Linked DNA regions of Tamandua tetradactyla. The protein of the gene in region 1 purifies or fractionates together with the protein of each later gene. This does not show direct contact. Links are inferred from orthologs where the notes say so. Each region holds a gene or a part of one and is shown in the gene's direction. Other genes may lie near its edges.

Evidence for each region. The genes of interacting proteins can lie anywhere in the genome.
Region 2: the proteins of TULP3 (region 1) and IFT122 purify together in Homo sapiens (co-immunoprecipitation; 6 studies listed by BioGRID and IntAct, counting the BioPlex papers as one, with this or other methods). This does not show direct contact. The link is inferred for Tamandua tetradactyla from reciprocal best matches to the Homo sapiens genes TULP3 and IFT122.

Annotation. Positions count from the first base shown.
Region 1 is NC_135333.1:65,027,598-65,034,967, forward strand, and holds the start of TULP3 (tubby-related protein 3), read left to right. Parts: upstream 1-4,206; 5' UTR 4,207-4,283; coding exon 4,284-4,324; intron 4,325-7,370. Other genes in the region: RHNO1 (RAD9, HUS1, RAD1-interacting nuclear orphan protein 1), read left to right, coding at 495-662, 1,731-2,282. UniProt on the Homo sapiens protein: Negative regulator of the Shh signaling transduction pathway: recruited to primary cilia via association with the IFT complex A (IFT-A) and is required for recruitment of G protein-coupled receptor GPR161 to cilia, a promoter of PKA-dependent basal repression machinery in Shh signaling.
Region 2 is NC_135335.1:35,907,851-35,915,531, reverse strand, and holds the start of IFT122 (intraflagellar transport protein 122 homolog), read left to right. Parts: upstream 1-4,567; 5' UTR 4,568-4,692; coding exon 4,693-4,733; intron 4,734-7,681. Other genes in the region: MBD4 (methyl-CpG-binding domain protein 4), read right to left, coding at 1,184-2,040, 2,423-2,649, 4,124-4,216. UniProt on the Homo sapiens protein: As a component of the IFT complex A (IFT-A), a complex required for retrograde ciliary transport and entry into cilia of G protein-coupled receptors (GPCRs), it is required in ciliogenesis and ciliary protein trafficking.

The DNA of each region.
Region 1 (7,370 bases):
TTCTCCTAGCCTTTCCATGCCCTGAAGAGAGGAGACACATTTTTCTCATATTGTTTGGTAGTTGTCTGTTTCCTCTCAGCAGCCTCTCAGCTCCTTGAAAACAGGGATCTCTATATTGCTCTACAAGTGTTTGGTAGTCAAATGCGTCTTGAATAAATGGCTCCCAACACCCTGTATGGTACTTAACATGTGTTCAATAAATGTTTATTAACATGTGCTTAATAAATTTTTATTGAATTAATGTTGTTGAATATGAATCATTGTATTTTTGCTTGCTGTTATAGGTGTAGGAAGCTTGGTCCCTATGACTTTGAGGTGGTAGTTTTTGTTGCAATAGGTTGCCTGGGTATCAGGAAGAGCTACAGAATTATCTGGATTATTTTCTCCCAGCTTTTGTTTCTTCTCTACAGGCATGGGTTGGAATTGGAGCCTGTCACCCCACCTGATTGCAACCAGCATCATGTGGTTGCCAACTGTTCTGCATTCATCTGTTGATGCCGCCCAGAAAAAAACGCCGCCAACGATCCCAGAAAGCTCCACTGCTATTCCAGCAACAACCACTGGAGGGCCCCAAACACCACTCTGGATCCCCACAGCTTCCCATCACCCATACTAAACGGGTGCCCAGCAAGCCTATTGATCACAGCACCATCACTTCCTGGGTAGGTTCATAGGATTCTTATTTTGACTTTTACTCCAGTAGGTGTCTCAGAATGCTAACCATTGAACAAGGACCTCCAAAGAATAAGATTTTTGGGGTGCAAAAGACAAAGAAGCATTGTATTCTTTCTGTTTTCAGCCATCTCTTCTTTTTTTCTCGTTTTAAACTGAGACATGGGTTGGTTAGAATTGTTGCCTTTCCCCCTACATTCCTCTAAAGGAGTTCAGTGTAAAGCTTTCACCACCCAATAGCCAGAAAAATGACAAGAATATTGTTCCCTGAGTTTCATATGAGAAGTGGAGTACTCAGGTATTCTCTTTACTGTTTAATGGATTGAACTTTGAAAAACAAAATGCACAGAAATTGGATATGTGATAATTTAACTATTTAAAAGCTCTGGAATAAGGGATTAGCTACTATATGGCATGGAAATAGTATAACAAAAGGGCTAGACAAAAGCATAAGCTCTGTTTAGTTAAGAGTGACTAATAAATAAAACTTGGCCAGGACTGCTTGGAAGAACTGTAATACTCACTTGAGGATTGTGGAAGAAACTTAAATTTTAGAGTTCTGTGGACGAAAATAAGAGTGAATATTTATTGACTACTTACTATGTGCCAGACCCTATGCTGATTGTTTTACATACATGATCTCAGTTCCTCATTCATGCATTCAGCCATTTATTATTTCCTGAGCGAGGCACTCTACTAGGTTCTGGGGACTGTGATGTGAACAAGACTGCTGTTGGTCCCTCCTCTCATGAAATATAAAGATACTTTAAAAGTTGCAGCCATATTGTGTGAAGTCAAAGAGACATTGTTCCTTTCTTAAGTATAAGGAAATAGCCAGAGATTGATTTTTTTTTTTTTTTTTTTTTACCATAGCTCATATCCCTTTCTGTTACTATGCCACTAGACAACTGTTATTTTTCTATTTCTATTACCAAAGTCGGCCCCCGTATAGGATTCTGGTCACTGGATGTCAGTTCCTGGTTATGGTTTGTACTTTCAAGTTTGTACTTGGCAGTTGGTTCTCTTCACTTCTTTCTCTTTTTTTTTTTAATCCTTAGATATTGCCTGAGTTTGACATGACAGCAGAAAGTTGGTATCCAGTCAACCAGAAATGTCATCACCAAGACCAGGCAAGACATTCAAGTCGCAAATCTGCCGCCTCCAAGTTTCCACAACTAATCTTTGAGAGTCCACAGTCTTCTTCCAGTTCAGTGACACTGGAGATCCCCTTAAGCAAGAAGGGCCCTAGTCAACTGGCAAAGGACATTTCTGGAAGGCCCTTAGTTCCAATGCTCAGCCCCCAAAGTAGTAGGGAACTGTCAGTGCATGCACTTCAAAGTCCAGGTTATGTGTTCATTCCACCTGATATCCAGACCCCAGAGTCATCTGTGAAAAAACCCATTCACCCAGATCAGAGGAAGAACAGCCTTCCAAGCTGCTCCCTTCACTCTAGTACTCCCAAGAATGAAGGGCCTGGACCTGCTCTAGTTAAAGACACTCCTGAAGAGAAGTATGGCATAAAGGTCACTTGGAGGAGACGGAAACACCTATTTGCTTACCTCAGGGACAGAGGGAAGCTGAGCAGAAGCCAGTTCCTTGTGAAAAACTGACTTATCAGATAACAGCCTCTTTATTAAGAAACACAAGAAATTGCTGATTTTCATAGAGTTGCTAAAGTAACTTTTCTGACTCACAGGAAGAGTACATCAATAGAATAAAATGGAAATAACACCAAATTAAAAAACAACTTTAACTGGAGCCCTGTAACCAAAAGGAAATTAAACTCCCTGATTAGCTTTTTAAAATACCTTGTTTCATAAACAGTTGGATTTAGTGCCATAAACAGTTTACTTCATATTTTTCTTATATTAACTGTTTAATTAATTTTAAAATGGCTTTTAACTTTAAAATGTATGTAAATAAATGGTTGCAGAAAGTTTTCAGAGAACTGTGCTGCTCATTGTCAGTAATGCAGCAATAGTGCCCCACTCACAAAAGGTCTTTCTTATTTCCTTTAGCCACTGCTCATTAATCCGTTATCTCTTTTAGACCAATTCATTCCACATTTTGAGAACCAACTCTGTGCCACGCTCAGTGGCAACTTCCTTTATGACTGGATGGGCAGAAAAAAATCAAAGGAAACGCATGACTTTTTTATAGTTGAGCTGCCGTCTCAGCACCCTGGCTCATCTGCTGAAAGAGCAAGAATAGGACAAGTTCTATTTTCATAAATACAGTGGGACCAGGGTAGATACAGACATAGACAAGTTACTTAGGCTTGCTTAGGTTTTGACATTTTTTTTCCCCCACCAAAGAAATCTGTAAACATTAGGTAGGATGGGAAAATGATTTCTTGTAGCTGTTTAAAATGTATGAAAATAAAGTGCAAAGTTTTCAGACATGATTACTTCTTGTTGTAACTAATGCAGAAGGGCTGCCCAGTCAAGAAAATGTCTCAATTGTCCTTTTACCCATACAAATAATGTCATTCAACCCTATTCACTCAGTATTTATTAAGAATCTCGTCTGTGTCAGATCCAGCCCAGCTTATTATTCTGCTTATTTTATAGAGGGGGATTTGAAGCACAGATCATGAACCATGTTCAGGTTCACTGGATGAGTGGAGACTGACCCAAAGTGTTCAATGCTCTGCTCTCCTAGCTTATGTCAAGTTCTATGTCTCTTAAAAAAATCAACTTCTGGATTCAAAATTAATGTGGAAATAACTTTGACTTTGGAATGCAATAAACTAGTCAGTGTGCAACAATAGTGGTGGTAAGAAAGGAATTGATGGTTGAGGACAAGATTTATTGGAAACAATGCTATCGTTTTAGATAGTGGATCCCATTATGGGACATGGATGTTTGAAGATGGTCTATAGATTGGAGAGAAAGGTGGATGGAAAAGTTTCTGGATTCTCTTGTGCTTTAGGAGAGTGTATAGCAGGTCTAGGAATGAGCTAAAAGCTTAGGCTGGAGTGGGAGAAGCTGAAGTTTTGGGCAGATGTGAGAAGCAGGTGAAAAGTGTGAGGCCAGGAAACTAAAGGAAAGATGGATTTAATTGGCGGATATCAGCTGAGGAGGGTACTTGCGTGTTTGAGAAGAAGGCCTTCGTTTTCGTGGAAGGAAAAAGATTGTGAGAGGGTCAGCTGGTCTGTAAGTCCTTACATTACAGATCTCTGGCAGCGCCATGGGTGGTCTTTGGGAGTACCGGGAAGCCACTCTGGGTGGTGGCTAGTGGGGGTTGGGCGGCTCCTCAAAGGGACTCGCATCTCCGTCGCGGGAAACCAACGGCGCAGTGGCAAAAACATCCTTCAGCACGCAGCCCTTCCCGGCGCAGCGCTCCAGGGGACCAGGCCCTTGCGCGTCATCCCCGCTCCGGCGCAGGCGCCTTTAACTCTCTAGTTCTTCCCTCCTCTTAGAAACCCTCTCGCATCCCGGTGGCGGCAATAGCCAATGAGAGAGGAACGGTAGGCACATGGACCAATGGGCGGTGGTGACAGTGCAGGGTGTGGTTGCCAGGGGGCGGGGCCCGGCTGCCTGCCAGTCTTGCCAGCCTAGCAGCGGCGTCTACGAGTCTGGATGTGATTGCCACTTACTTAGCAGCGGGTGATGGAGGCGTCGCGCTATGGACGTGGACCCAGTGGGGATAGGTAAGAGATGGATTGTGGCTAGTCCCTTCGCGAGCGAGGCGGGGAGACGAAGTGAGAAAGTGGATGTCCTGTCCGGGATGTCTGAGGGGAGAAGGCGGTGGGCTCCTCTCTGGGAAGCGATCTCTCTCCCTACTCCCTGGGACAGGACCCCTTTTAAAGTGAGCAGAAGAGCGCGGCGACTCGGCAGCTTTGCCCATCAGCAGAGGCTCCTCCCCGCCTTGGGAAACTCTTGGAGTTTTCGTTCCGAGCTCTCATTGCTCTGGAGGGCCTCAGTTTCCCCTTATTTAAAATGTATTAGCCCTGCTCTTCACGCACTGCCTGGTAGTTTAATAACTGAGATTGGATACATCCTCTGCTTTCCGAGGATGTCGAAGCAGAAGGTTGTGAGTAATACTGGATACTTTGCACTAATGCTGAAGCTTTTGCTAGGCAGTGCTGAATTCTGGAACAGTTGTTCCAGGGCTGAAAATACAAAACTCGTTTTCTTCTGTCTGCTTTCTAGCAGTTATCTCTTACTCGGGATTTTCTGTCTTTTTATAAACGTACCATACCCGTTGTTTGTGCCCCTCTTTCTTTCTCTTTCGTAACTTCGGCCTCCGCCAGAGGGAGAGCCTGGAAAATAAAACGATCTGAAATCTCAGCCTGCCAATTTCTTGTTAGCCAGATTAATGAAAAGTTAATGGGGATCGGTGTGAAATCATTAGCTTAAAACTTGACATTGTCTGAGGATTTAAATCATACACACACCATCTGCTTTTTAAAAAATTATTATTCCATTACTACTGCGAATAAAGATTTGGCACGTAAAGATTCAGGCTGCTTTATTATTTTTTTCGTTTTTATTTGTTTATTTATTTAGTCTGTTTTTTACTAGAATAAATTTAAACAATTCTAAACCATTTTTAAAAATTGTCACTAGAGAGGTGTTGGGGTAGAGAACACTCCTTCCTCCTTCATCAGGTTCTATTTATGTGATAGTGGCACTCTCAAAATGTGTTTACAACACTTTTTTTTTCCAAGTGGAGAGAAAAATAATCCACACTTACAAGTATAAATATGGGAATGCTAGGATGAGGTAAAGGTAATATTCAGCTTCTGTGGTTGAGTTCAGATGGTACTTGTTTAATTGTGGACACTCAATAAATCTTAGTTGAGTTTTAAAGCTATAAATTTCATAGTTATCAGATGTTTGATATGACTCACAATTTTTGGGAAAAAAGTAATTAACTTTGAAATTGGCATCTGGAGGCAAATGGCTATAATTTATTGGAACTGAAGTTTGAGATTTAAATGAAGATAAACATTTCTTTTCTTTTTTTTCTTCCCCAAAACACAAGCTCTTTAATTTTAAAAATTGAAATAAAAAAAGAAAAATAAATTAAAGAAAATTGACATCAAAGGGGAGTGTGTGAGTCACCAAATATTTCTCTTGCGGTAGGTAATGTTAGTGCAGCTTTTCAGTTTAACTTCTTTGTTGCTAAGAGGGAGTGAAGTTTATCTCTTGCTGTGTTAGTTTCAAGTTGTGTCTTTAAAGTTTTTGATGAAATACATTGATAGAGTCTTTGATATTAATGTACCTGAGAAGTTAGGATTTAGGGGATAAGTATTTGATTACTGAATCGTTATATAGACATTGCTTTTTTTCTTTCTGGTTTATTTGAGTAGACAGAGGGAGATACCTGAAATCTCTGAACTGTAATCCATCTGCCTTGATCTCTGATAATGAGCCTATATATAGCCTTTATCTTATGCCCTTGTGATTGTAAAAACTTTGTGGCTGACCCTCACTTGTACTCATTTTATCCGGTTTTTTGACTCTAAAATCTTGTGATCACTAACCCTCACGTTTATTATTGAAGGGTCTTGGGTCAGCCCAGAATGCATGCACCCCAAATCTAAAGTTATCTTGATAACCGAAGCTGGCTCTGACCTAAATGGGCCTGCCTGAATGCATAGTAGCTTGTATTTTAACTTGTAAATCACCTGTACCTCATTGTAATATTAAAATTCATGCCCATCATTATATTAAGGCCACAATTTTCTTACATATGTTCTTTCACTAAACGTGTAATGAGTCTGCACATTGTCCTGAAACCTGCCTATCTTTTCATACTATAAAACTGTCAGAATTACTGCAGTTCAGGGAGACAGATTTGGGGTGGATAGGTCATCTGATCTCCTGCGTCGTACCTAGCAACATTTTTTTTCTCTCTTTGAAACCCGTGTCTTAGGAATTGTCTATTGAACGCATACGGCAGAGAGTGTACCACCTTTGTTTAGTAACATTAATACCTTTCGATGTGAAGATGATATCTGCCTTTCAAATTTCCTGTGATTTTTTTCTTCTTTGACTTATGTGACTGTTTTAACATAAGACAGATTTATTTTCAACAAAGTAGAAATATTAACAGTAAACTTTAAATGTTTTTCTTGTATCTCAAATGTTTAGTGAAAATTGGAGATAGAATTTGAAGTAGCACTCTGAGGACCTTTGTTGAAGCTGGGCATTTGTATTATAGAATTTCTGGAGAGGATAGGGATTGGCTAGGGAGAGAACTTTTTTTTTTCAGGGAGTATTATTTTATTAAATCATGCACATTATGTGTGTTAGGGAAGTTGGTTTAATCTGTATTAGAGATTAAACTAACTTGAGCTCTATCTGGCCTTTGTGATAAATAATTTGTGATACAGAATTGAAGGTATGGTGAGAGACTTCCCAGTGTGATCTTGTGATCCAGACTTGGGTCGGAAAATCCTGCTCTGTGGTTTAAACAATACATCAGGATTTCTCTTTACAAATATGAAAAGCAGTAGTGGCCTGAAGTTATGTCCTGGTTAGTCTTATTATCTGCTCCCATGCCTTTTTTTTTTTTTTTTTTTTAGTGTCTCACCAGATCACTGAGTAGTTACAAACAGATTACCCAGTGTTTAAAATACTAAAAAAAAAGTGGTATTTGACTATTGTATGTTTGGCAAACTTCAACAGCTACAGTAAAGAGCTAATAACATCTCACATGCATACGTTTATCCAAATGTGAAGGCTACA
Region 2 (7,681 bases), on another chromosome or scaffold:
ATTTCCAGGTAAGCCAATGCGAAAGTCTTCACTATTCCTTTTAGATACCTACTAACCTAGATCATCTTTTGCTGAAAACTAGACTTCCTTATGTGTAGGATGGATAGGACACTTCCATTTTAGTTGCAAAAGGATGTTTTTAATATTTAATTTGCCTGTTAAACTAGCAATAAATCTAGTAGCCTCAAAGCTTTAAGAAGCTCAAAGTCTTTAAAACACTCATATGTAATCCCTAGGTATATATGGTCATCTTTGGTTAAAGGTAGAGAAATTCCAGACACAGAGTTGACATAAAATCATTGGTGGGTGTTATGTCAATTTCTTTTTTTTTTTTTTCCGTTAATTAAAAAAAAAAAAAATCATTGCTGGGATTGAGAGCAGGAATCAAGTCTAACCCCCTGCTCCACCAATCTGTCCAGGTTGTCTCCCCATGGGAGTTTAAGTAAAACCACTATTCTTCTTTAAAGGAGTTATTCATTATACCATAAAAACATAATGAATAACTAATACAGAGCTGTTCAAAAGATCTCCTTTTTATGTCGTATTCACTCAGGTAACATAAAAGCAAAACTGCTAAGCTCTGAATCTGCATTAAGAGCATATTACAAATAATAGATGAACTATGTGATTATAGTTTTGAATTATTTAGAGCTCTAAAGCATTTTAGAGAAGCATTACATTATAATAGAAGATAACAATGACTATGAAACATACAAAATTAAATTTGAAGTCACACAAGAGTAGTAAGAGGGGCACAAAAGAAGACACTGACTATTCTCAATCAGTTTATGTATAAAGGTGTCCTCCCCAAACCTTTTCACAAGTGAAACCTTTTAATTTTCCTTAAGTCTCAAGATTACCAGCTGGAAAGAGGTTGGGGAGAAAATAAAGCACTATTGAGCAGAGTCCCAGCTGTTGCACCAGGGAGAGACAGTGGCAGCTGTTACCCTCACAATTCTCCTTTGACCAAAGTAGTAACCAGCTGATTCCGTCTCTTCCACAGGAAAGGGCTTTAAGGTAGTTAGACAAGGTATTAGGATCAACTGGTAGAATGTGTCTGACATTTGGCCCTATTTCCTGGCTCTATTCCCACATCCTAACCATGTAGAAGCATGAAATACAGATAGGAAAGAATAAATTCCTCATCGTATAACGTTTAATAGCACTTTAAAGCACTGAATACCTTGAAATATTTTCACAGAAGTAAAGTCTTTCTCAGTCTGTGAGCAGTTGTTGTCCATTTCAGAGTCACATTTCAAAATGTCAGTATGCAAATGTTCCTTCCTTTCCCCAACTTTTACTTTTGTTTTGATTTCCTCAGATTCTAAAAATGCATCCCGACACTTCTGGTGTTCTGCTTCTTTGGTTGAACATAATTTGTTTATGATGCCAGAAGTCAGTTGTTCAAGATGAAAGTTTGATCCTGAACTCAATGATTCTTCTTTTACAAGTCCCTTTTCTTCACTGGTTGCACTGAGGGTCTCGTCGATTGCTCTGGCATCAGCAGTGCAGAGAGTTCTAATAAGCTGAGATTCTTGTGTGACAGACTCACCTTCAGCATCTGTTTTATTACACACAGATTCTCTTTTTCTACTACTTTGCATGGAATCTGAAAGACTTTTCTGGCATCTTCTTTTAGTTTTCCTAATTTGAATTCTTTTCAAAAGAGTCACTTTTCCTTTGGACTTTCTAACCTTTCTGGAGTTAGTATCATTAACACCCTTATCTTCTTTCAAAAGCAAATGATTGGAAGTAGAATTAGAGAGTCCTCTGCTCTCTTGCAATTCCAAGCTACCACTTGGCAGAGGAAACGCATCTTTTTTCCACCTGCCTCGTGTCCTGAGATTCCAGTTTGAAATGTTAGTTTCATTTTGTTGTTGGGATGCCTGAGATGTCATGCTGCAGTCTTTATATCTTGATCTGATGTCTTTTTTAGAAGGTACAGTAAAATCAAAATCTTCTGGCTTAAGAGAAGTCTCTTGATTTTTGTGAAGGTAATTAGCAAGGGAACTTTTGGTTCTGAACTTCAGTCCTTGAGGGCTAGAATGTGATATTAAAGAAACTTATTGCTAGCAAATACAAGTGAGTTTAAAAAAAGAATTGGACCACATTTTAGATTTCTCATGCATAATTTCTAAATGGAGCCATGAACAATTGTCATTTAAAATAAAAACCAGTGATGAAATGGTACTTTTAATGTTTCTTCTATGATAACCCAAAATAATTTTATGTATATAACTTAAATGCAAACTCACCATTAACCATTTATAGAAGGGACAAATTGTAATTGTCTCCAAATTATCTGAGGTAACTAATCAGTGACACTGAAGAAAGAGAACTCACTTAAGTTTTATTGCAAAAATAGATACAAGTTAGGATTCCTGTTATGCTTTTCCACTACCTGTCTAGACAAAATGCTCACCTGATAAAATATACATCAAATCTTCCAGCTGTTTTCCCAGATAACCTTTGCTTTACAATTTTTTCCCATCCACAAGGGACAGACTTATGGCCTTCTGTCATTGTAGTAATACCAAACTGAGCAGGAGTAATGGATTCTTGTAGCAGGGGATTACTCTTGCTACTTGTTTTTATCACCATTTGTTTCTCATCTTCTCCCACTCTTCCCAATCTCAGAGAACCTTCTTCCTCACTGAAAAACAAAGTACAAGTGATTAGCTCATCTGAAATTTATTTCCCTCGACTTATACAATTTTAATCCATGACATGGTGAAAACCATATGGACTATTAAGATAAAATAGGAAATTAAAGTCAGTATAGACTGCAACAAAGGGCTAACAAAGGGTTGGAAATACTCGTGCAATGAAAAGCTCAAGCTACCTATTAGGAACTTTTTTTGTCAATCATTAAGTAGAACTATTATAAAGATTTCTGGTGACACTTGGCATAATTATGAGAATATGAACCAACAGCTGAGCTCTAAACCTGGGATCAAGAGAACTGCTTAAAGGAGTCAATGAGACAACTCTTCTCTCCCTAAACAGGTGAGGAAAAAAATTTATATATACATGCATTTTTCCGGGAGGCAGTGCCCATGACTTTCATCAGATGTCCTAAGACTCCCAAAGATAAATAATTTGATTCAATTCTCCCCCATTCTTATTTCTCATGATAACTTTGTGAGGTAGGTAGGATAAGGATTATTTTCATTTCATTGATAAAATTGAGTGACAGGAAGGTAAAGTTACTTGCAGAATTGATTCCAGAACCCAGATCTACCAAATCTTGGTCCAATAACTTTCTTGGTCCAATAACCTTCCCACTCAAACTACTGAAAAGTTTCAGTAGGGTATATCCTAATCATTACATCACACATGTTGAAACTTGGATGGGTCTATAGAAATCATGGAAATCAACTTCTTTTCTAAAAATAGGGAAACTAAGCAAGAGCGAGTAACTAACTAGACTTAGAATCAAGTTATTCAGACTGAATTTCGAGTGAAATAATTCGGAGGGTCTGAATGGGATCTTATGAAACTACATAGTGCATAATTTTAGAGATAAAGGAACTGAAACCTGGTGAAAACAGCACAAACTTTGAAGTGAACAGGTTGGTTTCAAATCCAGCTGTCAGTTACCAGGTGCATATCCAAGAGCAAGTTACTTAACCTTCCAAAGCCAAGTTTCCTTATCTGTGAAAAGGAGGTGATACCTCTTTTAAGGTTAATTCTGAGGACTAACTATTGAGACGAGTAGGTAAATCATCTTAGCCTTAGATCGCACATATGCAAGCACTCCATAAAAACTGTAGTTCTCTTCCCATGTCTGGGTGTCCCTGGTTGTTCACGACCACATAAAATCTAGGTCCAACTCCAAAATCTTTTTAGGATCCTCCAATCCAAGCAGCTATCTCTCCTTACACCACAAAACCGCCTCCCAGCTCCCCTGTCATTTGGGGCAAGGAAGTCGGGCCCACCCCAAGGCTAATCCCCACAGGAGGAGTGGTACCTGTGACCCAGTCTTATCTCCGAACAATCAGACCCAGGGCACAGAGGTCTCTGTCGAACCTAGAATGTCAAGGTTAGAAAGGACCACACATCTTCTCCTCGCCCACTCTCGCTTTACAGGGGGTGAAACTGAGGCCCGAAAAGAGACAGTAACTTGCCGAGGGTCACACGGCTGTTCTGGGACTAGGCGTTCACTAGAGGTGTCCAAGCGGGAAGCTCCACCGTCCCCCAGGTCCCGACTCTCCATTTCAGCCGTGCTCCTCAAGCGGGCTCCGGCTGCAGCGACCCGAGCCCCTGCGCAGCTGTAACGTCTGGAGGGCCGGAGTAACACGTGAAAGCTTCTTAAGTTCAGAACACTGGGCTGAAACCTCGATATGAATATATGGAAAGTCTGTCAGACTCTACAGCTCCTTACCCGCCAACTCCTCAGCAAAAGCTGCCATTTTTCGTGGTTCAGCCAATCAAATTCTTTATCGAGAAGATGCACCGCCCCCGGTCTGTCGCTCGCGCCTTCATCGCGCATGCGCTTTCTAGGCTCCTGGTCCCGCTTCACTTTTGCTTTTTCTGGCTCTCCCTTTTGGTCATGCGCATTCGGAAGTCTTTGCCTGCTCCTGGCTCACTGCGCAAGTGCGTTGCCAGGGGCAGCGCAGGTAGCCAAAGTAGCTTGCTGAGAGGGCCTGTTGCTGTGGCGGGGCGGAGGGATCTGAGGCTTGAGAAACCGCGATGAGAGCCGTGTTGACGTGGAGAGATAAAGCCGAGCAGTGGTGAGACTTGGGACAGCCTGGGAGGATGGGGTAGCCGAGCCCCAACGGGGATGGCGGGAACCATTACGTGAATCACTGCAGTTGCTAAAGGCAACAGGCTGGAGGCCTGGGCCGAGGGGCACTGAACCCCGAGTCTGGGAGACTGCAAGGTCAACCCCTTACTTTGTGAATGGAGAAACTGAGTCTTGGGGAAGGGGCCAAGGGATACATCACGCGTCGGGTCGTGGCCTGTTCTGGTCTTGTCGCCTCCTTACTCAAAATTCGTTTTGACTGTATCTTATAGCCACAACAGCGTTTCCCAAACTTCAGTTTTTGCCATATCCATATATTACCCATACTCTTGTTTACTTGACGTTTTTCTTTATCACTTATTTTTGCTTAATTATGTTTTTAAAAGGAAAGTGTATTACTTCTTTTAACGATAACTATAAAGCTAAAAGGGAGAAACAAAACAATATTAATAAGTTGTAGCTAGGTAGTTGCTAGGGGGCCTTTAAACTTGAGGTTTACTGCCTCTAAACTTGGAGAGGAGCAACTCTTGTCAGAGAGGTGCTTAAAATGAATGGCATCAAAACAAGACTCTCACCTATGCTTAATTAGAAGATTTGGAAGAGAATTGTAAGAATGACTTTCTCACCTTATCAGTCTATGTTATTTAATGTCTTAGTCCGTTTATCACCTAAATCCATCACACAGTGGTACATTTTGGGAAATACTGACTTAGTGGGTAGTGCTCAGCCTGACTTTCAGTTTTCCTAGATGATCTTTTCGGCTTTCTCATGAAGCCTCTTTTTTGTTTGTTTGTTTGTTTTTAAATATTTTTATTGACAAATCTTCACACACATACATTTCCTACATGGTGAATTCTCGGTGGCTCACAACATCATCACATAGTTGTGTATTCAGTACCATGATCATTTTCTAGAACATTTGCATCACTCCAGAAAAAGAAATGAGGAAAAAACCCTCATATATACCAATACCCCTTACCACTCCCTCTCATCGACCACTAGTATTTCCATCTACCCAATTTATTTTACCCTTTGTCCCCCCTATTATTTATTTATTCTGTATCGATATATTTTTGCTCATCCATCCATACCCTGGATAAAAGAAGTAACAGACACAAGCTTTTCACAATTCCACAGTCACATTGTAAGAGTTATATCTTTATATAATCGTCTTCAAGAATCAAGGCTACTGGAACGCAGCTCGACAGTTTCAGGTAATTCCCTCCAGCCACTCCAATACACCTAAACTAAAAAGGGGTATCTATATAATGTGTAAGAATAATCTCCAGGATAACCTCTTGACTGTATTTGAAATCTCTCAGCCAGTGAAACTTCATTTTGTCTCATTTCTCTCTTCCCCCTTTTGATCAAGAAGGCTTTCTCAATCCCTTAATGCTGGGTCCCGGCTCATCCCAGGACTTCTGTCCCACATTGCCAGGGAGATTTCCACCCCTGGGAGTCATGTCCCATGTTGCGGGGCAGGGCAGTGTGTTCACTGCCCTGAGTTAGCTTGGAGAGAGAGGCCACATCTGAGCAACAAAAGAGGTTCTCTGGAGGTGACTCCTAGGCCTAATTTTAAGTAGGCTTAGCCTGTCCTTTGCAGGAATAAATTTCATAGAGGCGGACCCCAAGATCGAGGGCTCAACATATTGATTTGGTTGTCCCCACTGCTTGTGAGAATATCAGAAATTCTCCAAATGGGGAAGTTGAATATTTCCTCCTTTCTCCCAGGTCCCCCAAGGGGACCTTGCAAGTACTTCTTTATTCACTGCTCAAATTTCTCTGTGATCTGTCAGGGCATCATACTAACCTGTACAAACCAACAAGATCTCACACCCTATTCAAGATTCCATGTACTTATGCTGTTCAACTAAACTTGACCATACAAGTTAAATTAGGAAATGCACTACCCAAAATATCTGTTTTGCACCAAATAAACATCTCTTCCTTTGGTCTCACACAGAAATTGAAGTTTTTGTGGTTTTTTTTGTGTATGTTGTATGGCAGGGTTCACGTTTCATTCTTTTTTTCATGTGGGTATCCCCTTATTGCAGCACCATTTTTTGATTTTTTGTTTTGTTTTGTTTTTCATTTGTTTGCTTGTTTGTTTGTTTGGGAACTGTATAGGTCAGGAATTGAACCTAGGTCTCCTGCATAGCAGACGAGAATTCTGCCACTGAACTGCCTTGCACTCCCAGAAGTTGAAGTTTTAAAATATGGACCTTATCATCATTTACCCTGTATTCTAATTTACCTTGGTCTTATCCAGATCAGCTTCATTCATAACTCTACTTGAAGTCTTATCACTTTTTCAACTTTTTAAACAGATGAAGCCTGTTTTGACCAGTGAGACAGGCTGCTTGCCATTCCCTCCCTGACTTCTTGTAGGCCTATCTGTATCTGAAACATGCCCTCTTTTGTCATCTTATGTGGAAATTCTGCACACCTTTTAAGGCTCTCTTTGGAGATGGTTGCTCTTTTTTGTCCTCTGCACTCATAATAGGCAACTCTTACTATATGCCAGGCACTGGGCTATAAACTTCAGATCCTTGATCTTATTGCTACCTCACAAAAGTCCTCTGAGGTAGATACTATGATTACTTCTCTTTTAAGTATATAAAGAAACTGAAGCACAGGGAGGATAAGTAATTTGCCAGGGTCACATAGTGAGTAAATTGTGGATTCACCTCTCAAGCTCATTTCTGCCTCACTCTAAGGCCAATGCTTTTTACCACTATATTAATTTTACTCTATTACAGAAGTTGCACACTCAAATGCCTGCAGGAATCAAACAGGTAGTGTAAATGGGAGATTTTTATTTGCATATTAAAGCAAAGAATTATCTATTTTTCTTTGGAATGTTCTTCTGTCCTACATCACTTTTCCTGAAACACAGTCTTCCTTGTTTCGTTCACTTCCTACTTTTAATAGTGTCTT